4 linked regions of the Schizosaccharomyces pombe genome follow. Changing the gene in region 4 together with the main gene of any one other region gives a genetic interaction. Each region holds a gene or a part of one and is shown on either strand. Other genes may lie near its edges. The genes, in order: ada1, SPOM_SPAC1B3.08, tls1 and cwf15.

The links.
Region 1: mutations in cwf15 (region 4) and ada1 together harm fitness more than expected from each alone (negative genetic interaction), as found in Schizosaccharomyces pombe (one large-scale study listed by BioGRID).
Region 2: mutations in cwf15 (region 4) and SPOM_SPAC1B3.08 together harm fitness more than expected from each alone (negative genetic interaction), as found in Schizosaccharomyces pombe (one large-scale study listed by BioGRID).
Region 3: mutations in cwf15 (region 4) and tls1 together harm fitness more than expected from each alone (negative genetic interaction), as found in Schizosaccharomyces pombe (one large-scale study listed by BioGRID).

The regions. Positions count from the first base shown.
Region 1 is NC_003423.3:375,844-384,988, reverse strand, and holds ada1 (adenosine deaminase Ada1), read right to left. Parts: upstream 4,690-9,145; 5' UTR 4,600-4,689; coding exon 4,429-4,599; exon of another isoform or gene 4,366-4,428; coding exon 2,041-4,365; 3' UTR 1,689-2,040; downstream 1-1,688. Other genes in the region: chaperonin-containing T-complex delta subunit Cct4, read right to left, coding at 1-668; tim11 (F0-ATPase subunit E), read left to right, coding at 1,029-1,049, 1,115-1,286, 1,377-1,462; SPOM_SPBC106.03 (steroid dehydrogenase), read right to left, coding at 5,289-6,362; srx1 (sulfiredoxin), read left to right, coding at 8,153-8,527; dual-specificity protein kinase Mph1, read right to left, coding at 9,064-9,145. UniProt on the Schizosaccharomyces pombe protein: AMP deaminase plays a critical role in energy metabolism.
Region 2 is NC_003424.3:4,938,960-4,946,801, reverse strand, and holds SPOM_SPAC1B3.08 (hypothetical protein), read right to left. Parts: upstream 4,259-7,842; 5' UTR 4,127-4,258; coding exon 2,855-4,126; 3' UTR 2,575-2,854; downstream 1-2,574. Other genes in the region: protein Hrd302, read left to right, coding at 1-712; noc202 (Noc2-Noc3 complex subunit), read left to right, coding at 988-2,574; Cytochrome c oxidase assembly factor Coa3, read right to left, coding at 4,367-4,576; ESCRT I complex subunit Vps28, read left to right, coding at 5,366-6,112.
Region 3 is NC_003424.3:636,358-644,235, reverse strand, and holds tls1 (splicing factor Tls1), read right to left. Parts: upstream 4,845-7,878; 5' UTR 4,826-4,844; coding exon 4,061-4,825; 3' UTR 3,838-4,060; coding exon of another isoform or gene 3,289-3,837; 3' UTR 3,240-3,288; coding exon of another isoform or gene 3,052-3,239; 3' UTR 2,956-3,051; downstream 1-2,955. Other genes in the region: autophagy associated protein Aut12, read left to right, coding at 724-2,018, 2,105-2,351; grh1 (GRASP family protein), read left to right, coding at 2,609-2,788, 2,835-2,955, 3,052-3,239, 3,289-3,837; peptidase Oct1, read left to right, coding at 4,925-7,213; CwfJ family splicing factor mug161, read right to left, coding at 7,277-7,851.
Region 4 is NC_003423.3:1,036,763-1,043,599, forward strand, and holds cwf15 (protein Cwf15), read right to left. Parts: upstream 5,268-6,837; 5' UTR 5,212-5,267; coding exon 5,197-5,211; exon of another isoform or gene 5,138-5,196; coding exon 4,355-5,137; 3' UTR 4,226-4,354; downstream 1-4,225. Other genes in the region: rhn1 (RNA polymerase II transcription termination factor), read left to right, coding at 1-102; serine/threonine protein kinase Ppk27, read left to right, coding at 315-1,020, 1,088-1,623; chaperonin-containing T-complex theta subunit Cct8, read right to left, coding at 1,785-3,140, 3,427-3,548, 3,601-3,640, 3,694-3,816; ecm14 (carboxypeptidase), read right to left, coding at 5,533-5,631, 5,672-5,919, 5,961-6,089, 6,139-6,244, 6,286-6,837. UniProt on the Schizosaccharomyces pombe protein: Involved in pre-mRNA splicing.

The sequences.
Region 1 (9,145 bases), 660 kb from region 4:
CTCTTGACTGCCGTTTGTGTCAAAGCCAATCCGGGAATTAACTCGGTATCGTCAATAATACCACCTAATTTTTTAACAATACGAATATCCTTCAGATCCACATTTGTCGCAACACGAGGGTCAATGACCTTTAATACGGCATCTACAGCAATTGGAGCTAAAAGGTTACTGTATTGTGAAACAATTTTGGAATTTAGAGATGTGGTTGCTGCCCTTAAGAGTGATTCACGATCAGACAGCTCAATGGCCAAAGCATTCTCTTTCATGCAATCAACAGTAAAACCTGCTGCTCTTTGAAAAGATTCCGCGATAACTGTTGGGTGAATTCCCTTTTTTAAAAGCTTCTCAGCGCATGCGAGCATGGATCCTGCTAAGATAACTACACTGGTCGTACCATCACCAGCTTCAACGTCTTGTGCGGCACTTAAGTCGACCAGCATCTTCGCAGCGGGATGAAGGACGGACAAGTGCTTCAAAATAGTTGCACCATCATTTGTTAGAATAACTTCACCTTTTCCTGTTTGAATCATTTTGTCCATTCCCTTCGGTCCCAAACTAGTTCGAATCGCATCGGCGACTGAGCGAGCCGCCATAATATTTGAAAGCCGAACCTCTTGAGGCTTTTCTCGGTCTTGAAATGCCACGGGAACCGTTGCTGCTTTCGACATTGTGTTTGGTGAAGGAGAGCAACTCTACTTCGTTTGCTTTACCTTGGGACTTCTTCGTGCACTGTAAACTACTGTACTCGAAGTTTTGTTATTGTATACAATTTAATGTGTCGTAACGTGTTAATGCTATCTTTGTTTTCGAAATGGATCAAGCACTGGTAGCAGCTTCAATACCGCGGAGTAATTAAGAATACGGTAAAGCGTTTGCTGAAATATTTTAAAAAAACCTTTATTAGAATGTTAAACTAATACTAAACGTTGCACTATTCGTGTTAAGTGTTTAGAGTTCGATTGTGCTCGGATGCAAAATGAACTTGAACACTCCCCACTCTTTTACAAAAGTGATATAACGCTCTAAAAATGAATTCCATAAACGTAAAGGTATCCTCTAATGAATTAGTTTCACGAAATATCCATGTGTATTTTTAACCATCTCTAACGAATAGACATTACGCTGGTCAGCCCTCGTCCTTGGCTTAGGTGCTGGAATGTACGAGCATAGGAGTCATATTCAATGTCAAAAGCAGAAGGAGATTGATGAGAACTATCACCGACAAGAATCCTTGATTGAATCTGCCAAAATTGCATATCTCAATACTAAAAACACTCCTCCTAAAGGTTAGTTTCTTTGCATCTCAACGAGTTTAACGAACTTTGGCGGGTGCAATAGTACTCATTTTTTTTTCGCTTTACTAATACTCAATTTAGAAGACTCTATGTTGCCTAATTTGAAGAAAGATTCAGAAGATTTCGATATGGATGAATTTGTCAAAGAACTTGAAAAAAATGTTTAAATTCATCCTCTTGAACCACGAATGGGTAACCCTTATCACACTACAAATCGATATACTAAACTAGTTTGTTTATTTTTGTGTGCACTTTTGGTGCGATTAGTATTTGCTGATTGTCCGCGTCAACTGATTAATCAATTTAACGTTTTGCTTAAGTTATTACTAAATTCGAATTGTAACATGGTAACTTATCTTACTTTACTCACTTTATTATAATGAAGATGATCCACATGATTTGTTTTTTTGAGAATTAATTCTCTATAAGTATTCCATTAAATAGACTTGTAAGCTTTTTTCATACCATTTTAGTTCACATGGATATCATTATCTATTTAAATATGTATAGTAAACATTCATTCCAAAAAAAAAAAAAGACAGGAAAGAAAAGGAGGTAATATATATGTTATATATATTTTTATGGGTTATTTAACATAACAAGAACAAATATCGTTCTAAAACAGAATGCACAATTATCAAAGGTATCAAAGGTATATTGCCTTCCCCAAATGTTTCAATACATCAAAGTTGCATGAAAAAAAAAGCAAAAGTAAAATAAACGAAAGCGGTTCATAATAGAAACCTTAATCTTTCAAATCTTGGCTACTGCTAGCCATGCTATCCTTACGTCGACGACGCTCTGAAATCACACTTAGTCCAGGGAAAAAGGCACCATGGTCATGACCATCATGAAGAGACAATCTACTGCTTATTGTAGCGTCGTTCGTACGAGGAGAAGCCGACAAAGGGTCGCTAGTACCAGTCATAGCATCATATTTATGGATCAATTCCTCCAAATCATGGTTTGAAGGGTGCTTGGATGGTTGGACATGCTTGTTCACTAACGCAATTTCTTGTGTCAAAGTCAAAGCACGATAAGCCAGGCGAATTATAGGTACATTAGTACGATCAATATCCTGAAAATCAACACCCAACCAACGTTCTTTAAGCTGACGTTCGAAACCGGATTGTAAAACACTGTTTCTAGCCAATTCGCACATATCGACAGCAGAGAGCTTATAAATTTGTGCGGCTACAGCATATTCCTCAATCAGAGGCTCTCGGGTAAATGCAAATTGTAAAGGATCATCAGTGGAAAGACTAACATTAAGACCTCGTTTGAAGTACGTCAAAAATGGATTCTTATCATATGCAAGAAACAGTGCATTGTTTGATAATGGAGACATTGCGATAGGGATCTGATCAAGGTACCAAAGATACTGAAGAAAAGGAACTTTTCGTAATAAAATACCATGGTTAATACCGTGACTTAATAAGAAAGCACTGGCCAAATGATCCGTATCTCCAGCTTCACCACAATGAGGACGAAGGACAAAGGTGTTAAAACCACGTATTTTTCTCCAGCTATTCAAGCTAGTCATGTTGGCATACATGTAATATAACCAATAACTATATGGAGGATTTAAATTAATATCCCAATGTTTCGGATAAGGGAATTTGCGAAAGGTACGGCGTTCAGGTTTACTTTCGTCGTCAACAGAGTCAAACCCGATAACACGTTGCAAAAACACGTGGAGTTTAGGATGTGTACGAGGATCCTTTGTAACTTCGAACAGTGGTTCAAAGACATTTCTGACGACCTCTTCAAAAGTCTCAACAATACCGGACTTCTTATACACATCATACAAACGAGGTACTTGAATAAGCCAACGAACGTTGGGAGAAAAAAGTTCGTTATCAATAATCCAGGCTGCAAGCTTATCCCATTCTTCACGATTCCGTCCATAGATAGAAATACGATATTCAGCCATTTGGTACTTTTGAGTTCTAAGGTCGGTGAACACCTCTTTGGTAAGTTCAGCAAGATATCGACCGTTAATATCATTATCGGTTTTCAGGAAAATAGTACGCAAACGAGATTCACCAATTGGATTATATTTCAAGTTAAATTTGTCAAATCGGTGAAAGGTGTCAGTATGAGCATGCATATCCAACGTGTCTATACTAAGGTCATACGAAGTCAACTTCAACGAATCAAATACTTCTTGTAAAGTCAGGAATTTGCCATCACGCCAGATAACTTTTTCATTAGGGCATTTACGAAGTTTAGCTTTGATAAATCGCAAGAGATGTTTTTGATTCGCAAGAGCAGAATGATGGACGTGAGTATCTACCTTACGTACATTGTAAAAATCACGATGGGGTACTTTTTTGGTATCTGCCAGCTCTTGATACTCGTTTAGCAGCATATACATATTCCAGCGTCCTTCTAGATACTGCAATCTACGGAAGGAAAATGATTTACTAGGACCATCCGATGAAGCCGAAAGAAGGAATTCTAAATCTATATAATAATCGCGGATAGTAGGAATATGAAAAGACGGTGTCCCCGCAATGTATGCGCTGTCATTCTCATAAACTTGAAATATACCTTGATGATCCATGTGATATTCCATTTCATTTTCAATTCCAGGAATTTTGCAATCAGCAAAATTAAACAAGCCCGTATCATCTTCACCTTCTTTGCAATCAGGGTATATAATCCATGAATCATCGTCAATGGGATTGTCAAGCTCACCCTGTAAGCTCACCCTAATATATTTGTGTCGCATGTCCATACATTTATGGATTGACAAATAAATTTCTGCCAATTCATCAGAGAAAAGAGGGTCAGTCGTTTCCATGTTTCCTGGATCGGTTTCAGGGCCACCAACACTAGAAACTACAGCATTGTCTCCCTGCTGCACATGGGGCATATGAATGCTACTTATTTTGCTTTGAAGCGTATCATTCAAAAGCTTTCCACTTCCAGGACCAGCTTTACTATGGTTTACATCATCACTATTCCTTACTGTGCTAGCCGAGACTGATGGTCGTCTTGGGCTTTTAGAGGGCAGTCCATCCCGACCGTTTTGTGTTCCATTCATAGCCAGAAATTTAGCATCTTGCTAGGTTATGGTTAGTTAAACACGTAATATATCGAATTGGGGGGTTTTCACTTAAATACTTACATGTCTTAAAGAGCGCTCATAAGCATAATCAAAATAAGGAGTGTCTTGAGACGAAGGCGCTGCTGCAACTTCTTCGTCTCGATTAGCACCAGGATTCGTTACATATCGTTTTAAAGGAACAGTTTCAGCTGCAACAGCTGGGACTTGATCATCTTCTTGTTCCATGTTCATTTCAGCTCTAAAAATTAGAATAAAAAAGAATCCCAAAAATTGGCCTCTTCAAGAAGAATGCGACGAAAACAACACCTTTTTGAGAGGAGCGCGTGCACTTGCGGGTGAAGAGCCGTTTATATACGGAAGTAAACCACATAGTGAGAGAGGACGTACAGACATTATGTTGTTTAACGAAATAGAGCGATGATTTATTGAGGCAAACAAAATTAAGGGCAATTGAAATGTTTAGAATTCTGGCCAAACTGAATTTGTTTAAATCGAATGATTTTTAATATTTTCATTCAATAAATTAAAGAGAAAATTGACACTCATTTTACGAGTAACTTTTGTTTTTACGGTTTCAGTAGCGATCAATATACATCCTATCTTTTGTATCACTTGCACATTTAAGTAGACAATACAATTTGAAATCGAAATTGTAGCAATAGTACGAACGGTAAAATAACCTATAAACCATTTTACTTAAGTTCGCTCTGAGGAAAAGAGCTTAACAGTTACTAGATTTCGCTTTACACCTCGAGCGTAAAAAAAATAGAAACAAAAATAATTGAAAAAACTCAAGCAAAAGATATGGATATCAATGACATCTTTTCATAGCATCATTATCATTATACCAAACCATGATAGACATGGGATGAGTTCAATTTGACAAGGAAACAGAGAGAACTGAGGCTCCATACAAGTATTTAGCTGCGCTTAATAAGACTGCAGGAAAAGAAGTGAAATTTTCCAAACAAGGAGAAAATCCCATCAATAACACACGTAGGAAGGAACCGTGATACTGTGACCATGAAAAAGGTGCGACAACCAACATGGCGAGTTGGAGAGGGCCAGCAACCAAGCAAGGAGTCAAAAATTTTGTTTAGAACCTTACGTTCCGTACACAACGAAGGAGGATAATTGCTTTTACCTGGAGAGCTAGAATGATCGTAATTCAAAAAGCTGAGATTTCCAAGTTTGATACAAATAACCTGTAAGCCCGTTTCACGCTTGAGAGTGCGCAAGAAAGTTTCAATGGAAGAAGAAAGAATAGATGGAACAGCATAATTGGGAGGCTCATAAGCGGATAATATACCATGAGACAAGCCAATGATTCTGGCCTTTTGACTTTTCAAAAGAGGAATCATTCGAGAAACGTTAGAGAAAGATTCACTGAGTTGTTGAAAAGCACTGATCCAAGCATCTTTTCCAATGTTCTCAATTGGAGTGTACAAAGAATCTCCTGTGGGAACGAGAATAAGACCACGTAGGCGCAAAGCATACTCCTTAGGGCCAGATTGATTGGAAAAAGACAAAAGGAAGCGTTCAACAGCCTCATTATGAGTAACAATCAAAGATTGAATGTAAGGGCGTTGTTGGAGAGAAACAGTAGCTGCTTCAGATGCATCGCGAACAAGAACAACGACGATAAAACCACGACGATCCAAATCGTGAGCAATTACTGAGGCGAGAGGGTTCCACGCAGATAAGACAACAACTTGGGTTTTTTGGTGGTTGGGTGCACGTGGAGCACGACGCTTGCGTACATAATCATAGCGTTTGTAATAGGATAATCCAGCAAGGAACAAAGCGGCCGATCCTAAGCCAACTGATACTCTATTTTGATAAAGAAATTCTCCCAATCTTCCCTTGGCACTGTTTGTAGTATGAACTGTAACAGGTTGAGGGTTACTAGTTTTTTCATGAGCATAGTCAATGATTCGCTTGCCGTAATCCTTAACATTAGAGACTAAATCGGCAGCCCAGCGTTCAGGATTCATTTTTTAATGTTATTCTACCTTTTTGATATGATAATTCGTTTTCGTAGCAATTGGATTAGATTTCCAGGCAAAAAAACACTTCAATTTTCTCCCTGATATAATGTTTGAAGAAGGAAACAATGCAGGATGAAATTGAAAAATATTTAGCAATTTCAACAATAAATACTATCACTTGAGGAATTCACAAGTAATACTTCAAAAAGCTAAAGAATTCTAAAACTTGGAATTAATGAAGTGGTGAGTGGTGGTTGAGAACAGGTCGCGAATATTGGAAAACACCATGATGTCGTGCTAACTTGATCCTAAATCGCAATTCTATTTTATGGCAGTAAAGATGATTCAAATCGAATGCAAGTTTTAATATTGAAAGTTTATCGAAGTTAATCTCACATCAGGCTAATAGGAAGCTATGTTGCTAAAAACATATTGTAAGTAAATGATAGTATCTGTTCATAAAAGGTTTGATGTTTTGCGGGAATTGAGCGATGGCATTATAAAAAAATGAGGATTAATGGCTTTAGAGATTGACTAATGGGAAGGATAAAGGATACCAAGGATATGAGAGAACGGATGGATGATTAGTATTTATTATGAAATTCGCGTTTTCATTGTAGATGAGAAGTCCGATTGAAGTATTGACCTTACTTCTCTAAAGCATGTACATATGAAAGGATCATTGTGATCTGTTTGCTCAAAAAACTTTAAGAATTGTATTAAAACCTTGCTACTCTTTAAAAGTTTTTATGTGTACCATAGTTCTTGTAATTGTCTCAACAATTGTAAAAAAAAGAACAGCCTTTCATTTGTCGCTCAGTCCTTCTTTAAATTGAAATGTTATTCCTTACATTACCTAACATTTTTAAAGTGTTAAAATAATCTAATATTCAATTTGCTACATTGCCTTCAAATCTTATGATATAAAACGTTGGCCAAGAATCAATTTGGCCTCAGCAAATATAGCAGCCGAACTTATACAAACAAAATAATATACTATGGTTTCTTAATCCTGACTTAAGGATGGATTTTCTTAAAATTTAAGGATTTCAGATGCAATCTTTAAAATTCCACTTTTGTTGACGACTAACGGTTCAAGCCTACATTCTACCAATGAATTTCTTCTTAACCAAAATTTGCACTCTTCAACTAGCTAATGCTTCTTTCACCATTCGAAAACAATACTCATATTGTTTTAATGATCTTGTGTCGGTTATCTCTGTCACATTTTAGAAAGCGTTTTCAGAAAGTGAACCTTTTGTTTACACATTTTTGAATGTACTCGTGCATTTACAGTTCTCCGTCGACTCCAAGTTATTTATACCTAAGTATTTGTGCTTGAAATTCTATTTAGGTAGCATCATTCTACACTTTGACATCTTTGCAATAGTGTTTTATTGCCATCTACATTTAATGAATAAGCTACTCCAACTACCTTACTAAGAACACAAACCCAGACCTCGTAACGTAACCACGTTGCTTTGTCCTAGTCGGTTTAACGTGTTTCGCTAACATGCTGACAAATTTTTACATAAGATTTTAAGTATCGATTCATCTTTGATAATGATGTCATATTTGTAAATTATTATATACATACCGGGATAAGATAGGTTGTGGGGCAGATCATTAGTACAACAGGAAACGATATCAGATCAAGGAGTAAATATACTCGATATCAATATCCACTTTTCCATTCTTATTAACTTGCCTTTTTTTATAATTTTCTGTTCTATTTATAAAAATTTCTGTTCACTTTATCTTTTTTATATTCTTTCTTTCATTCATTTTTAACCATCATGACTTCGATTCACACTGGCTCAAATAACAACATTGTTGAGCTTGATATGTCTGAGTTAATTCGTCCTATACCTCCTGTTTTAGATATGAACAAAGTCAATAGTATGATGGAAACCATGACAGGGAAAACTCCTCCAGCTTCATGCGGTTTGACTTCAGAAGATTTGGAAGCTGGTGAGCTTCCTCCTGTTGATGTTTTAACGTTTAAAAAGAGTGGGAAGCCTTATTATTTTGCCTTTGGGGGCTGTCATCGACTACGTGCTCACGATGAAGCAGGGCGCAAAAAGGTTCGCTGCAAATTGGTAAATTGCTCCCCTAACACTCTACGCCTGTATCTGGGTGCTTCTGCCAATAAATTTTTGGATAGTGATTAGATTTAACTTAGATTTTTTCACAAGTTTTTTTAGGATTATCGATATTCCATTGAACCTGTTTTATTCCCTTCCTGCACCAACATTTATGGCGTTAATAATCATCTCTACCGGCGGTACATTATTTTTAAAGGTTTTTGTTTTACATTAGTTATGGGGTTTTTTTTTAATGTCTAATATAACCCAATTATATTAAAAAAGTTTCTTATAAAAAAGCATCATTCATTTGGTTGCTTTACCTAAAAAAAACAAACACAAAAAGGTATTATATCGTAAACAAACAACTTATAGCGTTTGGGAGTATAGCGTTCTTTATATTTACATAGTATCAAAGTATAGATATCAGGGGCCATATAATATGTGGTTCATTAATCAAGGTCATAATTACCTTCTTTTAAAAGAGCGAAAAATTAAAGATTAAAAAAAAAAAGCCTTTAAGCTCCCTAAAAAAGTCGTTAACATTAAGAAACTCGTATGATGTTTGGGAAACTTTGTAAAAGATAAAACCTTTTTAAGAATAATCGGAAAATTTAGTGCCTCTATTCTGGCATTTTTCGTAAATTGCTAACGCAATCATAAGCCATGCTATCAATAAGTTCCTTATTTAATCGCTTGTGCTTA
Region 2 (7,842 bases), on a different chromosome or scaffold from region 4:
GGCGTATCACCTCTTTTTAAGAGCTGCTACTCAAAAAAGTGTCATCTCTTACAAATATTTAGCTGATTGTTATTATAATGGAACTGGAACTAGTCGATCAATGATAAGTGCCTCTTTATACTATAAAAAGTTTGTGGAAGCAATACGAGCTTCTGCAACCTCGATGGCTATAGCTTTAGAAGAAATAGACGAATATGGATATTTTCATAATTCTTTCGTCTATTACTTATATGCCGCTCAAATGGGATATGCCCTAGCTGAAATTAATGCAGCATATTTGATGGATGAGAATAAGTTTCTAATTAACTCAGTATTCCGCTACTTTAACTATACCCAATCTGAGCAGGAGGCTGCTCATGATAAATTTGCGTATGAGTTTTACTCTCGTGCTGCCGCTCAGGGTGATATTGATGCCATTTTTAAACTGGGTGATTATTACTACTATGGAATTGGCACCCCTAAAGACTACTCTAAAGCATATACATGTTACAAAATTGCTTATGAGCAAAGCTCAATCGGTATGGGCCTTTGGAACATGGCATATATGCACGAATACGGAATAGGACGAGATCAAGATATTTATATTGCTAGACGATTGCTGGATGAGCTATCTTCTAACCAAAACTCTTACTTCCCTTTAAAAGTTGCCATTTTTTGGATCAATATTCACCAACTTTATATTAAATTACTGAAACTACTTCGTTTACGGTAAGTATTTTTTATCTAAATCGCATGAATATGCTTCACAAGTGCCAATATAGCTATCGTTATATGCATGATCAGCTGCTTGAAGGAGCACATATTTTTAATCCTACAGTCAAAATATTCCAATTCACTTTTCAAATACCATAAAAGCTGCTAATTTTTGAGAAATCCTTGCACTGTTACCCGTGTTACTCAACCTGAATTTCTCACACATTTACAGCGAAGTGAATTTACTACTACGTTCATCTGCAATTGAACTGGTGTTTTTGTTTTCTCGGGGAAATGGGTAAAGCTTCCAAGGCTACAAAAAAGTTTACTAAAAACCACCTAAAAAATACTATCGAGCGGAGAAAGCAGTTAGCTCGTTCAAAAAAAGTTTACGGCACAAAAAATCGAAATTCACATACAAAAAATAAACTGGAAAGTGGAACAAATGATAACAATAAAAACAAAGAAGATCTTTCTAAACTATATTCAGATGTAACGACCTCTAATACATCGCATGAGAAAGACGGATCAGAAGATATTTCGGTTCTTAATGTAAACTCCAAGGGCGCTTCTTTAAATCAAGTTTCTACTCAAAAAAGACGGAGTGAAAAGGATTTACTTGCTGCTATTGCATATTGTCAGAAATTATCGGGGACCAATCAAGCAGATGCGTTGTGGAAAAATGTTGAAAAGGACTTAAAGGAGACTTTGGACAACGTGGATTTTGACGCTAGGTCAAAGATTCTTCAGGACCTTCGTTTAGAGTATGCCGAGATTTTATTAACAAAATTTAATTTTGAGAAAAAGGGATATCAAAATTTGTCTTCGGCCCTTGATACTATACTTCACATAAAAAAATTTTCTAAATTTCCCAATGGTCTGGTTACACAGCTATGTAATATTTTTGTTAATCATTCTAAAGCTCGGGAAGATATTCAAAAAGCAGTTAATCATATTTGCAAAATTGATTCGTCGTTGAGTGTGGCAGTTTTTCAAGTATTTTACTCGCCTTTGTTGGACTTTTTTAAGTCTTCTCCCAGTGAAGTTAACGATTTCGATACCCTTGAAGAGCTTCAACTGTTCTTGATTGAACTTCTTTCTCTTAACTCACGGTTTTATCAAAAAATTGCCTTCGCTTATCTCTCCCAATTGGATGCTCATTTGAAGCGCTGCTTGAAGGAGTCTGAAAGCAGTGATGCATACAAATTAATATACAATTGGCAATTTACGCTTTCGCTGAGATTTTGGTTACATGTTATATCATTTTTATGGAATGATTATGAATCAATCTCCAAAGAAATTTCTCCAATCGCCATAAACCTGACGCTGGATTGCATTCGTTTAATTCCTACGGAGCAATATTACCCATTACGTCTCCATCTTTTAAAGTCACTTGTTAATATTTGCAGATCTACCCGCCTTTACATCCCCCTGTCTTCTCAGTTTTTAGAAATGATCCCATTTGTTCTTAGGAGATCGAGTCCTTTGTCTGATGATAAGGAAGTAATGTATAACTTTGACATGTATTCTACTCTTCATGTGCCTAAAGAATGTTTGTTGTCAAAATCTTATCGTAACAATGTCAGAAAAGAAGTCATTTTGCTAATGACTGAATATTTTGCCATATTTTCCAATTCAATTGCCTTTCCAGAGCTCTCTGCTCCCATAATCGCACAACTTCGTGGACTGGTAAATGAATCCGCACCGGGGAAGCATGTTTTAACATTCTTGAACAAACTTGAAAGCACTTTTTCTTTTGTTGAAAGCAGAAGGATGAACGTAGATTTTACTCTCAATGACACATCTCAAGTAGAAGCTTTCGAGAAGGACTTGGATTGGAGGTCTACTCCAATGGGTAAACTAGTCAGTGATACTACCTAAGAAGGTTCTTTAAATTGACTTTAAAAAAATTTTTATTGTACAAACGAAAAAAGTAAACACTTTTGTCTGGTGGAGATTAAGGATATAAATAAGCATTGTATATCTACATGATTTTCAGTTAACTTACTATAGAGATCAAAAACGGACGAATTAATTAAATTAATAAACGTTCTAATCATTCATAAGATTAGTAATAGAGTTTAAAAATAGCGTAAACGCTGTAGTTTTAAATTTTTTGCCGCATCGACAAATCTTAACGTATTTTTCATAATGGACATAACTAGGTAGAGACATTTTTGGGAAACGGATCCTTGGCGGACAAAACCACAGTTTCGAAGTTACGAGATATATATCCTCTCATGTATCCTTTGCTAATCATATTGGCCAAAATAGCTTCTACATGCAGTTTGGGTAAATCAGTACCGGCAACTTGAAGGGCTATCTGAAATACAGAAACAGGTAAACGAGTAGATTTCCCACAGATGATCCAAGTCTTACGAAAAAGATTTCGAATACACAAATCTCTTGTGCCCTCTAGGGTGAGGTAAATTTTGGTTTTTGCAAGCAAGGTTTCGTTTTTTTGCAAACATTTTCCAAATTCACCTAAATTACCGGATTTTAGTGCTCTAGTCAAAGGAATATAGACAGAAGCCAGATTGGGAAATTTAGAGAGTAAATTTTTTGTGGGTAGCTGATGATTTACTAAAATGCGAGTTGGAATCCAATACGAAAGAATTAATTCCAAGTTGCGATTGTAACCTTTGTGACATAAGGAAAAGGCAATCTCTAGCTCAGCTGAGGCATTTTTGTAATTTTGGTTTAAAAAGGCAACAATTCCAAGGTAATAATGAAAAATTACGACGTGAGACTTAGGGAAAAGGGAAATGTCAGGAAGTTCCACAACTTTCATGGCACGCAGAACATTGTTGGTCAAATGCACACAATCTAGTCTTAAGTAAAGTTTAAACAACAAACCCATAATATAATAAGCTCCCCATTTACGTGACGTCGACAGAGGAGCTCGATCATTGATACAGATGGTAAATGCACGATTAATCAGCCTAGCGGTTGCTTCAAGTTGTTCATTTTCTTCCGACTCATCAACCGAAATTACTTTCAACTGCTGTTTGCGGCGAAGCATTGCATTATGTGCATTGATAGCCAAAAATCGTAGATCCTTACATACTATAAACAATACTGGTAAATGAACACCGGTACATCTGCCGGATGAGAATTCACGATATAGATGCTGTGCGAGTTCAGTCTGTTGTTTAAAGGCGGCTGCAGGATCATGGTCACGAACTAAGTACAGCAAAACTTGTAAATGCAAAAGTACAATGTCTGTCCAGTTTTTTGAAATTGATCTTTCTACAGTAAGTTTCAAAACATCGTCAGACGAATATGTTCCAGGAATATCAAAGTTCAGCACTGAGGTTAGCGTTTTCCCCCAAGGAATTGATAAATTTTTCGCTAGTAGGACACTATTAGATCGCGCAACAGCTGAATTAATGGTTGAGAAATAAACGTTTAAAGGTAAAGGCCTCTCACTCATAGTTGTCATAAATCAGAAGCGCCCTTTAAGCAGGTCGGTACCAAAAAAAAGGAAGGGAAAGGGAAGATGTAAAAATCGGGCTTTAAAGGGTCCACAAGCACCGTTTGTGTTTTCGCCAGTGTGCTCTGTCTCAATACCAACGACACCGTCGTGTGCGCGCTCTTGAACGCTGCCCACGAGAGGTAACGATGTCACTTGTACTAGCAAAAGCCAAAAATGGGTGAATCAAGATGAACACTTTCAATTCTTTTTTGAGAGATCTCGATCCTCCGCAATTTTTTTTTCCAATTCAGGAGTCATTACTACGTCTTCAAAAGTATCTTCGTGAACTCGGTAGACCGAATATGCAAAGGTCGCGAAGGCAAACGCGCCAAGACCTAGGGCCGTAATCAAATTAGCCCTGCGAAATGGTTTTCTTGCATTTTCAAAAGCTTGATTACCCTGGTTCATAATATAATGGTTCAGAAAAGCAACCTAGTCGTACTGAAATGTGCTTTGTAAAGGGAAACTAATAATTATGTCAATGCGATCACATTTGTTCAATGGCTGCGTTAAGCAACGATATACAAATATCACATTGTTGCGAAATTCTTAGAGACAACTTTAATGTAAGCTACGCAGTTTGGTATCTGATTTAAGGATACGTAGAACTGCGGTGAGTTTTCCTTGTGATCTATTATATTACAATACACAGGTTGTATAAGTAGCAACTGAGTATAGGTATTGTATTAACTGGGTTATAATGTTACCTATCACTAATATAGCTCATAACTGAACTGAGGAACGAGGTTCAGCAGTAGCTCTATTTATAGTATTCAGATAATATTGATCTTAATAGATTATCATTAAGATCAATCTCCATATCGTATCATACATGGTACGATATATAATTAGAACATGTGACATATAGTGATACTCAACGTAGTGTATTATAGCGTAGTGTAGTATTGCTGACATTTAATAGCGATTTGCACCAGTACGTTAACTTGGCTAATTGTTGGATAGAGAAGTGCAATATTTGATGCATTATGTGTTTTCAAAATGAGAACGATGGACGACTGTGCGACAGTGTGAAACATCTAGCTCTCAATTTATTCCAATGTAATAAGTCATTCATTACATTGATTTATAATTGATTTTTTCCCAATTGTAATTAATTAATTATATATTCGAAGCTAGTTTATAACTTTGAAAGATTGAAGGACAATTAGACATCTGTTTCTTCAGTTTATTAATGCTATGACTGAATACTACGATCTGAACCTTTTAGAAAAGGAAACTTCAGAAGAAAACAATTTTCATACTAAAAATCAACAGGTACGTGAAGATTTAAGTATTCTTTACAGTATTTTGGTGGCATTAGAGCAATTGGAGAAAGCTTTTACGAAAGACGCCGTGTCTACTTCTGATTTCAATTCTACCTGTGAACTTTTGATACAACAATGGGAGTCTTGCTTTAGTGACGAAAGAGTTACTCAGGCTTTTGGCTCATTTGAAGACTTCTGTTCAAAGTATCGACTGCAATGCCCAAGAGCAATCAAGAGAATTCAAGAGGGGATATCGGACGAAAGATCTCAGTCCAATTCCACCTTTTCCAATGCAATATCTACAACTGCAGAACCTTCAATTGCTATGAATGATACTACTCCACAAACTGTTAATCCAACAAAGGCTCCATCCAACCCATCTGCTTCCATTGCGAAATCAATTGCCGGTTTGGTACAAAATTTCATTACTACTCTAGATGCCATTAGACTTAACTTTATTGCCAAAGACCAGCTACATCCTTTGTTGTCGGAATTGATTGTAAGCATGGATGATTTAACGGAGAGCCTAAAAATACAAGTTTCGTGTCGAAACAAGTTGGTTCAATGGTTGATAAAAATCAATAATATGAATATCACTGACCAGTTGAATGACGTGGAAAAGAGAGAACTGCTATATGATTTGGAACAAGCCTACGCAGAGTGCTATAGCTTGTTATGATTTTAAAATTCGTATTGCTAATGTTAACTCTTCTAGCGATGACACGGAATACCCAACTAATGATTTGGTTTAATTTATAGAATACACACTTGAAGCCGCTTATTTTCTGCCCTATGGAATGTTAAGAGCGTTTCTTAAACCTTGTAAAATAGCTCAGGAAGGAATGATTTATTAAATTAATTAATTAAAGTCTATTATTTCAGAGATATTTGAATTCATGCACTGTTTATCCTTTAAGTATCCGATAGACAGTAAACTAGCTGATGGGTCATTAGCTCTCATTCAAATTGAATAGGTGAAAACAAGGGATGCTTCAGTCTCTTTCTATGTAGATCATCCTGCTTTGAGATTCAAGTAATTTGTAGCTTTTAATTTGGCAAGAATACAAAGAGAGCTTAATTTTGGCCCTTTTTACTGACACAATTACAGAATTTCAATTGCTTAAGCACTGTACCAAGTGATGTACAAATTCATTTCAAAACATCACCCGACTTGAAAAAATTGAATGTTATTCTAGATAAATTAATAGAAAAGAAATAAGTTAAAACTTGAAAGTTTGGAGAAAGTATTAAACTATATCGCTTAGCTGAAACCTGAATATACAGTGCACTGACTTGGCATGTTTACAATTAGAAATAAATTATTTCCTACGTAGTCCGTAATCTACTTTTACGATGAACTATCTCGAGACAGTATATAATGCTATTTAGGTTTGTATGTTAGCTACGCAGTTTGATATCTGTTTTAACGATAAATAGAACTGTGGTGAGTTTTACTTGCGATCTACAATGTAGCGGTATGCGGTATGTTAACTAACAATGTATATTTATTGTTATAAGAAGTCTGTTAGTATCGGTCACCGAGATAGCTCATAACTGAACTGAGGAACAAGGTTCAGTTGTAACTCTATTTATAATATTTCTAAATAGTTGTTATCAACGGGTATTTATGTATATAGACGGATAGTTACCCGTGATTATCAATAAACGGATCTTAGCTAGTATTCCAACATATGATCTATAGTGATACGCAACGTAGTATATCATAGCGTAGTGTAGTATTGCTGACATTGTATATCACGAGCATTTTGTAACTGTAAATTGTTTTTAATACGTTAAAAATTCTGTAGGTTATAATAACTACTCTTGAATGTTTCTAATTAATAAGTTGACTTTCATATATCGGTTGCACAATGTGTTTGCAGAGTGTGTTGTGGTAATGCTCAATCTTCACTTCGCAATTCACAACAGAAGATCAGAGGCGATTGACGATGGACTTATAATGATAGCATAGTCTTAAGATGCTTAGATTGTATGATTGAAAATAGAGTTAGAATGTTTTAATTTTAATTTTTTTTTTGGCATTAAAAATGTTTCGAGAATTTGGTAAGCATCAAGTTCCTTGTAATATTTATTGTTATAAATAGGTAGTGCTTATAATTATTACTATATGCAGTGTTTGATATTTTAAGCAATTCTGCAGCGTAGTTTTTAAATGAATAGTGGAACATGATTTAGGTAAGATTCATGCGCAATGCTATAAAAAAGGATAATGACACAGCCTTGCATGGCTCTAAAAGCATTTAATGCGTGAAAACATACTCAGCGGTCTAATATAATTATTCTTTTGAGGCGTAAGTCTAGAATTTGTTACTTGGAAGCCATCTATATCCATTTAGTCTATCACGATATATCTTATACATCTACTCTTTACCTCCAACTGCTAAGAAC
Region 3 (7,878 bases), on a different chromosome or scaffold from region 4:
TTACAAGTACTAGACTAATGTTTTTGTTTTGGAGCAATATAGATATTGAAAGAACCAATGCGCAAATCTCAATTCTATTCAATATTAGATGGAACCATCTCGAAAAGTTAGCCAACAAGTTTCTAGATCTTTAAATGTGAATACCATCCTTAGACCTTGAGAAGTCAAGGATAAGCAGCATTTTAGTTGAAACGATAGATCAGTGATCACTCCTAAATAACTCAATATAAACAGTTTGTAGTAATACATCTAGCGCTATATTCTAAGCGCTTTTTAACATTAATTTCTTAACCAAAGAGTATTCTTAGTTTAGAGCGCGTACATTTCATAGAACGTGTAATTATTAGTTTTATTTTAAATTCAGTACTGTTCTCTGTATACAATTGACTTCCATGTAAACGTATCTTGAATGCCATTTAGTTGTAATATGAAATTCTTTGCCGAAGACTCAGCCATTCCAATCTTCCCTTTTGAATTACCTATACAACTAGGTACGAAATCATCTTCGGCACAATATCTTTATGATTGCACCGCAAAGTTGAGTTTCAACATTTATTTAAAGAATCAATAATTATTTTTTATTCAATAAAAAGCAAAATATTTAAAACGCCTTCTTTTCCCTTAATTTTAACCGTAAATGAGTGAATGAAGCGAGGTTAGCATTATTACAACAGCTACAGTCCTCCTTATTCAATCCATCCCACTAATGAAAACAGCCAGTTGATGGAACCAACATCTGAGCATTCATCAATCAAGGAGGAAGTGGAAAATGATAACGTTCATAGATCTCATGAGTCGGAATGTGGATCACTGCTGTTAAACCCTGGTAATGTTCTAATGGCAGCGCCTTCGGTGTCAGAGGATGATCAAGAAGTAAGCAGGTCTACACCAGAATTGCGAAGCCACGTGGAAAACGTTGAACAATTACTTTCTGATATATTGCATGATAATTCCTCTCCGCTTAATGTAAGCACTTCAGTATCGAGCAGTAGTAACAATACGGCTGTTGATGAAATTATAAAACTACTTTCGTTGATATCTTTTGATTTGGCAAAACAAAAGCGCACATATTTGATATTCTCTTCATCAGGGAAGCCCGTGTTTAGTAACATTGTTGATGATTCAATTGAGCCATCAACCGTTGGCGCGTTACAAGCAATTATTAGCTCTTTCGAAGTGTCGAAAGAAGAGCTAACAAGCTTTTCTACCTTTTCCAATGTTATCGTTGTTCTCTCCAAAAATCCTCTTTATCTTGTTGGCGTATCGCCATCGACAACTTTAAGCGCAGCATATTTACTCAGTGAGTTAAACCTCTTATATTGCCAAATACTTACTGGGGTTACTGCGAAAGCTATGCAGCTGACCTTAAACTCCCGCCCAAATTTTGATTTGAGAAGACTTATTGGAAGCAACGAGCAGTTCCTAAAAGAACTATGTGATCAACTTAATGATTATGAATTAGTCCCCACATTGAATGCCATATCTCCTCTTCCTTTACGTTCCTCTTTTCGTGATCAGCTGTCGCAACTGCTGTTGAGAGAAACACCCAAATCTCTGCTGTTTACTTTTATAGCTATACGAGGTCGGCTTGTTTGTATGGTTAAGGCGAAGAAGCTTTTATTACATGCTAATGATCTCTATTTACTTTTCCTATCACTCTTCCGCACACAGTCTTTTAATGATTCAATGGAGCATTGGGTGCCTGTTTGTTTTCCTACTCTAAATCCAGATGCTTATATTTACATTTATAGCTATTTCCTATGTAAGGACACTGTCTTGATAATGGGGAGCAGCGAAAGTGGTGTCTTTTTTGAAATGCAATCAGTGAAATGCAAAGTTGCTCAGGAAATTCAGGATCATGGATGGTTGAAAAAGCTCATTTATTGTGAAGAAATGGATAGAACTACGCCAAGGAATCCCGGATCTCCTTGTATTTCACATTACTTGTTTTATTCAAAGAAATACTCACAGTTTTATACTCCTGGCTATTCATTTTCAACTCCCAATTTCAATACTAGGTACGTATACAATGATCTATTTTTCTTTACAATTTCAATACGATCGCTATCTTTGGGCTCATTTGCTTTGCTAACTATGTTTTTAGAACTCTTTATGCTATTTATGCTAGCTTACACGACCAGGCATTTCACAAAAAAAATTCTTTCTCAATTAATATGACTGTCCATGAATCTTTGCTTCTATTCACGTGGTCAACTGCATCGTTCGACTTTCATTGTATTGCTAACGCTACCACTAGCAGTCAACTGCTTATTGCAAATGTTAATAAGATTTTGAGATGGATACGAAGGGAGGAGAATCGATTATTTATACAAACAAACCTTTCGTTTTGATAATGAGCATGTAAAGTTTAATGAAATTCATTTCTTTTTATTTTTTATGATGTTTTGACAGTAAAATATTTAAAAGAGCGGTGATTGCTTCCAACAGCTTTATTAATTTTTCTTTTTCCTTTTTTTGTTTTAATTTATTAATATCAGCATCATTTTACTCACATAAATTTCCGACTGTATGAACTTAATATCATAGCGAGTCAACCGCGCCATTACCTAAATCACCACCAACCCTATTTAAGTACTAAACAATCGAAATGTTTGGTGGTTTAAAGAACTTTATTAAAGAAAAATCAGAAGCTTTAGCTGGTATTCATCGAGAATCAGATGAATCATGTGGTTTCAGAGTATTAAAGGTTGAAAACGATTCGAAAGCCTATAATGCCAGAATTGAGTCTTATTACGATTTTATAACGGCAGTGAATGGGATCTTACTGGTATGAACTGATTATAGTTTTATCATTACTAAAGTGTTTTTCACAGAATGGAGACCCTTCAATGTTTATGGCTTTGCTTCGTGATTCTTCCCCCGAAGTAACTTTAGAAGTATTTTCTTTAAAAGGGCAAATTACGAGGAAAGTTAATATTAAAATTAACAGTGACGGTAAGTTTCTAGCTGCGGTTAACGATTCTTATATCTTTTTTGGATGTATTTTTATGAACGCTTATTGAATACAAATAAATTTTCTAACGACTACAGAAAAAATTGGCATGGTTTTACAGTGGGCATCAATCGCTCCTGCCGTGGATGCCATTTGGCATATTTTGAATGTTATAGACGATTCTCCTGTTGCACGAGCTAGCCTTGTTCCGTATGAAGATTATATCGTCGGAACTCCTGAAGGAATGATGACAGGAGAAAAAGCGCTTTCAGACCTAATTGAGTCTGTATGTAAATTATGTGCTAAGATAAATTATTTGACTAACAATTTAACAGCATCTCAACAGACCCTTACGCCTGTATATCTACAATCATTATCGCGACTCCACTCGTCAAGTTACCATTGTCCCAAATCGTCATTGGGGAGGTAATGGAGCTATTGGATGTGGTGTTGGACATGGCGTCTTGCATCGCTTACCCGCTCCTTTGTCAGGACCTCCTCCACAACCTGGGGACATTGTGTTTTCAAATCCCATGCTGGGGGGTCCAGATCATAAAGTGTCTCAGCCCAGTGAAACTGAAAACTTTTTGCCTACTCCAGAACCACCTAAAATCGCTTCTGCTAATGCTGGATCTAGCAATGAAATATCTATCCCGCACTATCAAAGACATAAGAAGTCTCATAAAGGCGCTATCCAAGATTCTTCTATTCAATCATATTTAGATGAAGAAGAAAAACTAAGCAGAGAATTGGATCATAAAACCAAAGACGCTTCTTCTACTAACGATTCCCAAACAACTCCTTTGCCTCCTCCTCCTCCTGTCGCTGTTAATTCAACAAACGATGAATCAGCGCCTCAAAATGAAGAACTTGTGAAAAATTAGTTATTTAGTTAAGCTCGTCTTTTCTAGCAAAAGCCCTCTTTTTAATGCCCATAATGATTAAAAGTTACAAAACTATATTTTTGATAAATAAACATTTGAGGTTTTGAGTAAGGATTTTATAAAACACAAACAAACCTCTTTATCCGAATTGATTACTCAAAAAATGTAATAAATAATTTGAATTAATGAACCTTGCCAAACTGTTGCTTCTTTTTTATTATCGTTAATCCTGAGTTCCATCCTTGTAAACGCGAAAACGCCTGTAGATTCCCTTACTTTCTTCATCTTGGGATATCGGTTTTAACATTTTTTCAATAAATTCATCCCGAGCAGCGTCCTCAGAGGTGCGAAGAGCCTTCGAGTCTAGTTTTTCTTTCATTCTTGCTCTTTTTTTTTGTCGTTTCCGACCATTTTTCAAATTATCAACGTCGGTACTAATAATCCCTAAATCTACTTCACGTATAGCACCAAGAGCAGCTGCATCTCTAATAAATGAATGTTCATTTGGATGTAAGGAATTTTTTATGTTTTGTACCGTCGATTCATTTTTTGTATTAAGTGCATTAGTCTCTCCATTTTCTGAGTAGTTTTGGGCCAACCTTTCCTGTTTCAGTTTTTTTTCAACAAAGTTTAATAAATGCGTGTTGATGTCAACCTCGTTTGTTTGTTTAGCAAACCTATCTTCGACGGTTGGAAGTTGCGCCTCTATAAGTTTCGACGATTGAGCTGAGGTCTGATCATTAGCTTCATGAGGCTCATTAGCAGTGTTCAATTGTTTCTCTTTTTTTGTTTCTTGATTTAATAACTTTTCAGCATTTATCCCGATAATCGAATTTCTAATTTTTCGCCTCTTAGTAGCTTCCAAAGCTTGCCGTAGACGAATATCATTATCATCTAATTCTTCTAAATCAAATTCTTTTTCATTTCCAAAAACTTTTCTTCTTCTGAACGATCGATTGCTTTTCTTTTTTATATGTATACTATTCATGCGGATACTTTTTGTGGTTGGTATTTCAAGTAAACCCTCCTGGAAATATATACCATTCATATAGCCTGTACATGTACCAAAAATTTGTCGCATATTACGATGCAAGTAAGAACTTTGCTTACATTGGGAAAAAAAAAAGTAATTGGAAATAGGCAGTGCATTCTTAGTCTTTATCGAAAATATTCTAATGTTCAAAGTCGCAAAGCGGAAGACCAATTGTTGCGTCAAATTTTTGATGATCAGAATATAGCTGTGAACCAGATAACGAAAAGAAATGGAATTCAGGGAGTAGGATTGTTTCGTAATCACTTCCTTTCCGACAAAGATACCGGCTTCCTAAGGCTCGCGGAAACTGCATCTGAAAAATGTAAGGCCGTGATTGAGGATCTTTTGCTCGAGGATACTGAAGACGGGTCAATTGTAGTCAGCAAATTTGACAGGATTTCTAACTTACTATGCAGTGTCATTGACCTTTTTGAGTTTGTGCGCTGCGCCCATCCTGACAAGATGGTGGTAATGAAAGCAGAAGAAGCTTACAGTTATCTATTTGAGCTGATGAACACTTTAAACACTCATCAAGGTCTTTACGAAAAATTAAAGTGTTCTTTACAACAGACTCCTACGTTGAAAGATACAGATCCTGAAGCATATACTGTTGGAAGAGTATTCCTCCAAGATTTTGAAAAATCGGGCGTAAATTTAGAGAGCTCGAAAAGAAACTCCTTTGTTAAAAAGTCCTCTGAATCTGCAACTCTTGGAAGAGCATTTTTTAATAATAGCATGAATCGTCCTCAGCGTTATTTAACTATTTCTAAGCAACGTCTGGCTGGTTCGGACCCATATTTTGTACGCTCACTCTCTAAGAATGACAAAAACTTTATTATGATTCCAACTGTTGGATACGAAGGTACACAGGCCTTGATTAGTGTAGCAAATCCCGACGTCAGGAAAGAAATTTACATGGAAGGTCATAAAGGAACAGTTGAAGAAGTCGAATTGCTAAATTCCTATTTGAGGTCTAAAGCGGAAGTTGCGAAACTAGTGGGAAAAAGTAGTTTTGCAGATTTACAACTTATAGATAAAATGGCTAATGCTCCTAAACATGTTGTTGAATTTTTAGAGAACTTATCATTAAAAAATTCTTCCGTGTTAAAAAAGATTTTAAACAATCTCGCGTTAATGAAGAAAAAAGAGTTAAACTTGAATTTTCTTCCATCATTTGATGTTTGGGACAGGGAATATTATACTGCTCGCTATAAACAATCTCTTATAAATCAAAAGCCTTCTTTAAACCCTTCTATAACGAATTATCGGCGTTTTTTTTCTGTTGGTACAGTTATTCAAGGTCTATCTAGACTATTTAGTTCTTTATATGGGCTTCGTTTTGTTCCAGCGGACATTTCCCCTGGTGAGGTATGGCATCCTGATGTAAATAAGGTCAATGTTTACAATGAAAATGATCATGTAATGGGTGTAATTTATTTCGATCTATTTGCTCGAACAGGAAAAACAGATGGAGCTGCTCATTTTACAATTCGTTCTTCTCGGGAATTAGACTTGACAAGCTTTGACGATTCTATAAGTCTTGGATTTGATGATGCTACTAATATAAGGGTCAAGGATAACAAACGGTATCAAATACCTGTCATTTCGTTATTGTGTAATTTCGTACGTTCTAGTGGAATGGATCCTACCTTTTTAGATTTGTGGGATGTGAAAACACTTTTTCACGAGATGGGGCATGCCATGCATTCCATTCTAGGTCATACTAAATATCAGAACTTAGCCGGAACTCGTTGTGCAACCGACTTTGTTGAACTTCCTTCAATTATTATGGAGTTTTTTATGTCAAATCCAGCCGTATTACCGCTTTATGCTCGCTACGAAGGAACTGAGATTCCATTACCTGTACAAGTTTTGAACCATCATAACATGGTTGAAAATAGTTCAGCACCCTTAGATTTACAATCTCAAATTTGTATGGCTATGGTGGATCAATTGTTTCACTCGAAGGTTGTCTTAGATCCGTCATTTAATTCTATCGATGAAGTTACTAATGTAACCAGAAAGTTCAGTGGGTTTGAGTCTGCTCCACCTGCTGCTTGGTATCTTCAGTTTAGTCATCTTTATGGATATAGCGCTACTTATTATTCATACATTTTTGATACGGTATTGGCTTCGCTAATCTTTAGTAAACTTTTTGCTGGAAATCCATTAAGCCGTGAGGCTGGTGAGAAATTTCGTAAAGCCATCCTACGATGGGGTGGCAGTAGAAGCCCATGGGAATGTGTTGCAGAAGCCCTTGAACAACCTATATTAGCAACGGGCGGCGAAGAGGCCATGCGTCGAATAGGAAGTGAAGGTATTAAAGCGACGTCCACCTTTTAATGGAATGATGTTCCAGTTATGAATTTAAATAATTTATTTATGAATTATAATGAAATACTAAATTTATGTAAAGTCGTAAGGTTTGAAACACATTTTGAAAGCTTCACTCTCAGCTTTTTCTTCATCTTCTGTCTGAACGCATTTTCTCCAATCAACCCTATCCTCAAGACCCAAAATTTTTGCAGCAGCACGTCGCCCAAACTGTAAATCAAATCGTTCTCTTAGTTGTAATCGATGAATTAAGATTTTTCCAGAGGGTAGAAATACACGGAAATAGTTCAGCTCATGAGGTTCTACATCCCTTTCCTCAAAGTCGTAACCAGCTTCCTTTGCCATTTCAAGGAAGACTGATTCAATACGATGTGAGGAAATCTTGGGGATGGGAATCATTTGCCAATGCAAATGAACTCCGTTAGCTCTACTAATTTCATATACTAAAGCATCGGAATCACAAGCATTGTACATATCAGTTACAGCTTTACGAAATCGATTCATTTCATTTAAAGTTTTCTCATATGAGGTGTCCGACAAAGTACTTAAAGCAGAAGCATGCGCAATTGGTATAATCAAAACATGACCAGAGGAAGCTAAAGCTGGGGTATTCGATGCCGTGGTAGTAAGAGGGCCTTTGGGCAACGCTGAGTCGTTAGTATAAAAAAGAGTAA
Region 4 (6,837 bases):
GAGGAATCTAAAGAATTACCAGAAGACTCAGATATCTATGGAAAAGATAGTTCTCCCTCTTCGGACGACTCTAGTGCAGCTGGTCTATATGGTGATAGCTGAAATCCATGAAATGTAATGCTTAGTTTTCATTATTTTTCTTTTTTTTTTTAAACTGTCAATCAATGTGGCAGTCTTAGTCAATAAGCATTTTTAGAATACCTATCCTAACCTTTTATATGCGTCAGTACCTGACTTCATCCTATCGAAGCCGTTTTTGGAATTTTGTATATTTCGAAGAAAGTTGAGCCCTATCTAGGAAGAATGGGCTTTTAATGTCTGAAAAAAAACATTCTTGCGAAGAAAAATCGCTGCAACTATATCCTCTTTCAAATAAAATTCGTCATGTAAATCCGAATATTTCAGCTCTTCCGTCTGAGACTGATATATCTGAATCATTGACGAACGATTTAACTAAACTAGAAATTTCTAACTATGCTCCATTTAATAGAGATTTAGAGACTTTTTCCGATTTAATTTTTGGCTTAACTAATATACAAAAAAAATCATTGTATTCTCTTCAATTAGGCAGAAGTAGAGGATATGCTTTATATTCAGACGAGAATGAGAAATATTTGTGGTCTATAAATACTAAAATCACCTCTACGGAACAAAGGGAAGTACTGCTTGTCAAATCTAATAATAAGAAGTTTGATACTTCCATCGTCCTAAAACATACTCACTTATCATCCAAGTCTCAAAACGAAAAAAAAGCTAGAGTAAAAGTATTTCGGCAAGAAATTTGGGCCCTCAAAACTTTGTCGCATCCATGTGTTGTGCAGCTATTAAATTACTACGTTTCCTCCGCCGAATTAATACTCGTAGAGAATTATTGTATGGGAGGAGATCTCTATCATTACACTAAAAAACATCATTCGGATTTCAGCCTTGAATTTGTTGGGCGAATTTTTTCTGAGTTAGTACATACAGTTGCTTACCTTCATTCCAAATGTTTGATTCATAGAGATTTAAAACTTGAAAGTAAGCTCGATGAATAAGGATTTTCAACTTTTACAGTTATGATTTTAAACTAACACTTTGTCTTTAGATATATTGCTTACCCAACCTTATAATGTTATAAAGACGATTGATAATTGGAAGAACTACCCAAATGCTTTAATTCAGATTTCTGACTTTGAGCTTTCTATTTTTGTTGACAGTAAAAATCATTTAGTGCAATCCAGCTGCGGCAGCCAAGAATATGCACCACCGGAAGTTTATATGGGTATTGCACATGATGGATTTCGCGCGGACGCTTGGTCTCTCGGAATAGTTTTATTTGCACTATTAGAGGGTCGTCTTCCCTTTGACTCCTACCCAACTTTGGATCCTGAGAATGTAAGGATCAAACGTTATGTTCAAAGGCTTGTAAGATGTGATTATACATGGCACTTATGCAAATCGCCATTCAAAAGATCTACTGGAAATACTAATGATAACGACGATCCTTCATGGCGGTTCCGCTTATTTGTGAAAAAACTTCTCAAAAATAGAGACCAGCGCAGCACACCGACTGAATTGTTAAAAGATTTTAATAAACATGGCAACTTTACTTTACCGTTATTAGAGAACGTTACGATTTAGAGACCTTTAATGATAAATGTCTTACTTCAATGGATTATGTCTGTACCTAATTATTTTGATAACGCGCTTTTAATTTCAATAGAAAATTAGTAGCAGATTTTTACAAAAACTATTCATCGTTTTAATCCAATCCTAGTAGAAAAATGAAACTCACTTAAATTTTAATCATCATCCCAATGAGGGTTGGGGCCAGGTGGTTTTGGACCTCCAGCTGGTTTAGACATAACAACTTGATCAACGTTTAAAACAGTGAGTACAGTTTCAGTTGCTAATCTAATTGCTGATTTTTTTGCTAATAAAACATCAAATATACCAGCTTCTTTCGCATCTAATGTTCCATCATTTTCACATTCAACATCAACTCCAATTGATTCACCGTTTTCCTTATGATGGGCAGCATAAAGTTTGCTAATAACATCAGTAGGATCTAATCCAGCGTTTTCTGAAATAGTCCTAGGAACAACCTCAAATGCTTCTCCATACTGTTTGATTGCATGTTGATATATACCAGGAGTTTTTTCACCAACTGAAATTAGACGAATACAGAGTTGCATATCACTAGCTCCAGCACCAAAGATTAAACGGTTATCTTTGACCAAAGCTTTTACGATATTTACACCATCATCAATCGCTCTTTCCAAATCATCCAAGTATGTCTTAGTAGCCCCTCGAAGCACGATTGTTGCAGTACGTGTAATATCCTCAACTTGACGGAATACAGTGACACGATCACCACCAATCTCAATCGTCTCAACAACATCGACGGATCCCATCTCTTCAGGCATGGGAACACCCATACGAGCCAACGGGGTAGCGCCAACCACCCGACATAAGCGACGTAATTCAAATTTGCTTGGCACACGAATAACAAGGATTTCAAATCTATTCAAATAATGTAAAACTAAGTCATTGACATTGCCACTAGTGACAACTACCCTAACACCAGCATCGTAAATTTCTTTAATGTGAGACTCAATAAGGTTCTCCTCTCCTTTAGAAAAGTCAAGCATTTCTTGAGCATTATGCAACAATACTGTGCCTTTTGTTTCGGTTTGAGAAATATCCAAAGGGCATGAAAAAACAGCAACTTTAGCTTCTTTTGAACGTGTAACGGTGCCCTCTGGCTCTCTAGGAAATACCATGCCCTTTACAACCTGAGAGTTATAAAGGCTACTTCCCATAATTTTAACCACACGGATATTGTCAACGTTAAACTTGGATGGATCTTTGGGAAGAACTGTGAGGATCGCTTTAGCAACTAAATCCGAAAGGAAATCTTCATTTCCATATTGCTTAGAAGATATACAAGTTCGAATTGCTTTAATAAGCTCCTTCTCACTTTCAACAGTCTCAATTTTATCAGCACAAATTTCCTCCAAAACCTCCATAGTGTGTGATAAAGCCATTTCGTATCCTTTAGCAATTTCCAAGGGAGTGAGACCCATGCGAATCATGTTTTCAGCCTTGGCTAAAAGTTCACCTGTAAATACAACCACAAAATTTGCAGCATCACCAAGCTAATGGTTAGTAAACAGAAAATGGTTTTAAGAGCAAATCAATGTACAAATATTTGAAGTATAAATAAACAAAGTAAGCGTCAATACGATAGAGTTATATAAAACATGAAAACGTTGATAAAAGGGTAATCAAAGTGCTTTCTAAAATGCCCTTTTGTAAGGCACATGAGTGGATCAAAAGGTAAAGGAAGCTTAAAATAAAGTCCGCAAAGAAAAAAAATCCGCTTATTTAATGTTCAAACAAGTGTATCTCAAAAAAAATTGTACAGTTAATGAATTAACTTACCTCATTCTCCTGTTGTTGGGTAGCATCGACAACTAGTTTAGCAGCAGGATGAATAACCTCCAATTCACGTATAATGGTCGCAGCATCATTCGTCAAAAACGTCTGTTGCAGATGATTGACAACTATGTGTGTGTTAGAGAATAAGAAATGAAATAACTGTTTGAGTCAACATACCAATTTTATTTTTTCCATTTGGACCCAAAGAGGTACGGGTCTAAAAGTATCAGTAAATGAATGAAACTTGCTTAATAAATTATAGGTCCTTACGATTTCTGAAAGTTCACGAATAGCATTACAATTACGGATTACTGCATCCTCTACGCCCTGCATAATCCGATATCCTTCGCGAAACAGTTGAGGCCCAGAGGCCTTTGGAACTCGCAAAGCCATTTTGTTTACGAAAGCCTTTATGTCTTGGTAAAAGTCAAGTGGTGATTAGCCAGTACAGTAGTAAAACTATATTTCGGTATTGAGCAACCATCCTTGCATTATGTTAAATAAATTAGTGATTTCAAAAGTAAAAGCAAACGACTTCAAAAGTATATATATAGTATTTCTCAAATGTTTCCTTCGTACAAAAAGTTATAGTAGTTGTCTTTTTTAAAAATGATAAAATATTTACATTAAATTATAGTAAACTTTTCAGTAACCCCTTCCGTTAACGCAGATTTGGTGAGAGAATAAATAAGATATGCATCACTCAAATAAAGGCTTTGCAATTATAAATTTTGTAAACTTAATATACCAACAATTGTAACTACTAAACTCAGTACAGCCAGTATTAAAACAAAAAAAGAAGCAAGTTATCAATTAAACATTATCATCTCATTTATAAGTAACATTCTTAAAAATTGCCTTGTATGATAGCAGTAGAATGAAGAAATTTTGTTTTGTGGAAAGAAAAGAAGACAGCAAACCCACAGGTGATTTAATCAACAAATCTTGCCAAGAACTTCTTGTGAAACTCGCTTCTCAACATATCATTAACAAATCCAGGCCGAGGTGTGTCATCAACCCCTTTATGTGTATTCCTAAAAACAACGTCTTCGTCCCATCGACGCTTAACTTGAAAAGACCCTGAAGAAGCTTTATTCAAAAGCTCATTTCCAAAAGCTATTTCCCGTTCCCTTTTTTCTTGCTCCAGTGCTCTGTTTTTCTCTTCCTGAAGCATTTGCTCTCGTTTTCTTTCTTGTTTTATATTTTCCAACTCTCGAAGTAGCTGTTGTGTCTCATCTTCTGAATCGGACTCTTCGTCCGAACTTTCTGAATTTGATGAGTCAACGGATTCTTGAGAATTTGATTCTGTTTTTCTTCTTTTAATTGATACCTCAGAATTTTTATTTGAACTATCCACACTGTCGTCGCTATCGCTAGCATCCTCGTCCGCCTCCAAAGTCTGCCGTAACAGCTCTTGATAATCAACCTCAACATCGTTATTGGGTTTATCGTCCGTTGAAGGGGAAGTGAAACCTTCTATGAGTTTTGAATTCTGGCTTACTTCTTCAGAAGAGGCACCATGTTCTTGAGTTGCAAAATGTGCAGCCTCTGCACGTAACAATGCCTCTCGTAAATCCTGTTTTCTGACCTCTTCCTCAGTTCCTTGAGATTCTTGTCTATATTTTAGTTTTAAATGAGCTGGTAATGCGCGACTAGACGTTATCCTAGTAGGGGCCATTTCTGAATGCCCCCTAGCTGGATCAAATTGGGGTCTCTAAACATGAGTTAGTTTTAAATTATAAAATAGAGGATATATATGTAAATTGAGCATACATGTGCAGTCGTCATATTGAAAAAATATGCAATTCACAACTGTTATTATTGAGACTATGTTGGTGGAGTGCAAATACGATTACACCAAAAAATCTTAATATTTACTCTTGCAAAGTAATCATGATTCACTACTTTAGTAAGTATTCACTCTTAAATTCTTATAACGTTCTAAAAAACGTTAATTGATAGAACTGGATTTATTGTTAAGACAGGTAAATAACGCATCAATTGAACCACCTGGAAGGAAGGTATTTATTTTCATAAATTAATAATTACTATAATTAAATTTGGCAAAATTGCCAACAGATAAGCGAATAATTATTGATCTTTCTTGGACTAAAATGCATACTCAGCGATAAACTCTCCATAGTAAAGAATCATCGCAAAAAATTCCTTAGCTGTGGGGACAATCTGTTTAGCAGGTAATAAATATCCCTTGTTTAATTAGTAAAAAATTTTAGAGATATCAACTTACATAATCACCCATGTCTCGTAATCGAATATTGAAAGGCCATGCTACATCAGCAGCAAAATAAACCCAGTCAATGGCAGTTCCAGGTAGGTAATGTTTATGAAATCCATCATACGGTATACATGCTTGTTGATATGTGTAGTATCTACTATTTACGCGATGCAACTCTTTAACTAAGCCAATTGCTAATTCCTCAAAATTCTCAGTATCAGGAGGAAACAAGTCGCAGGTATATGCATAAGGCCACAAAACTAACTTAATTAGTAAATGAAAATAGACTGTCGAAACATACCAGATTGTGAATACGAATGCACATCAAGAAATCCAACGACCTTTTTCTGCTCTTGCGACAAGGATTCAGTTATCAGATTGAACAAGGCCATAGTTTCGTTAGCCTGAAAAGGTGATAATCCTCCATATTCTTGAGTTTGTTAGTTGTAATAAGTCATCAAAAAAAATAGTTCGCTTACCGTTGCTGCAAGGATCAATATTACCGTTGAAGCCAAATGCCCAATTCGCATCGAGATTTATGCCAAAACACTCGGAATTATTAAGAGGCTGTCTGTTTTTTGACCACTGACAAATAATTAGTATATGCTTCATTACAAACCACTTACCAGTCTATCGTTTGACCATGTATATTCATAACCATCAACGTTTAAAACTGGAATAAAAATCCATTCAAATTTATCCAAAAGCTTTCGGACATGACCATCGGAATCATATTTTGCCAACAATTGCCATGCGGCATAGCAAACAGATGGAATACCTATCCACTCACGAGCATGAGATCCTCCTTGAATAATAATCACTTTCTTGTTACGAATCTTTTCCCCGTTGTCGGAAGGATGTCGACCGTTCAATTTTAGGCCTAAAATCGTTCGACCTTCCGCTGTAATTCCAACTGGAACTAGTTCACTTAAATCTTTGTAAAGGGACGCCATCAACCTCAACCAGGAATTAATCGATTCTAAATTCTGATATGACTTGAAAAAAATATCCGTAAAGGAAGTAAACATTTCGTGATTTAAATGACCATTTTCAACGGCTTGAAGGAAAGCTTCTGTGGAAAAAGGGGAATTCGTAGTATCTGGAACAATGCTTTCAAATAAGGTCTCTGTCAGATTGTTTATAAGTATGTCACTACGATATTGACTCTTCCAAAAATC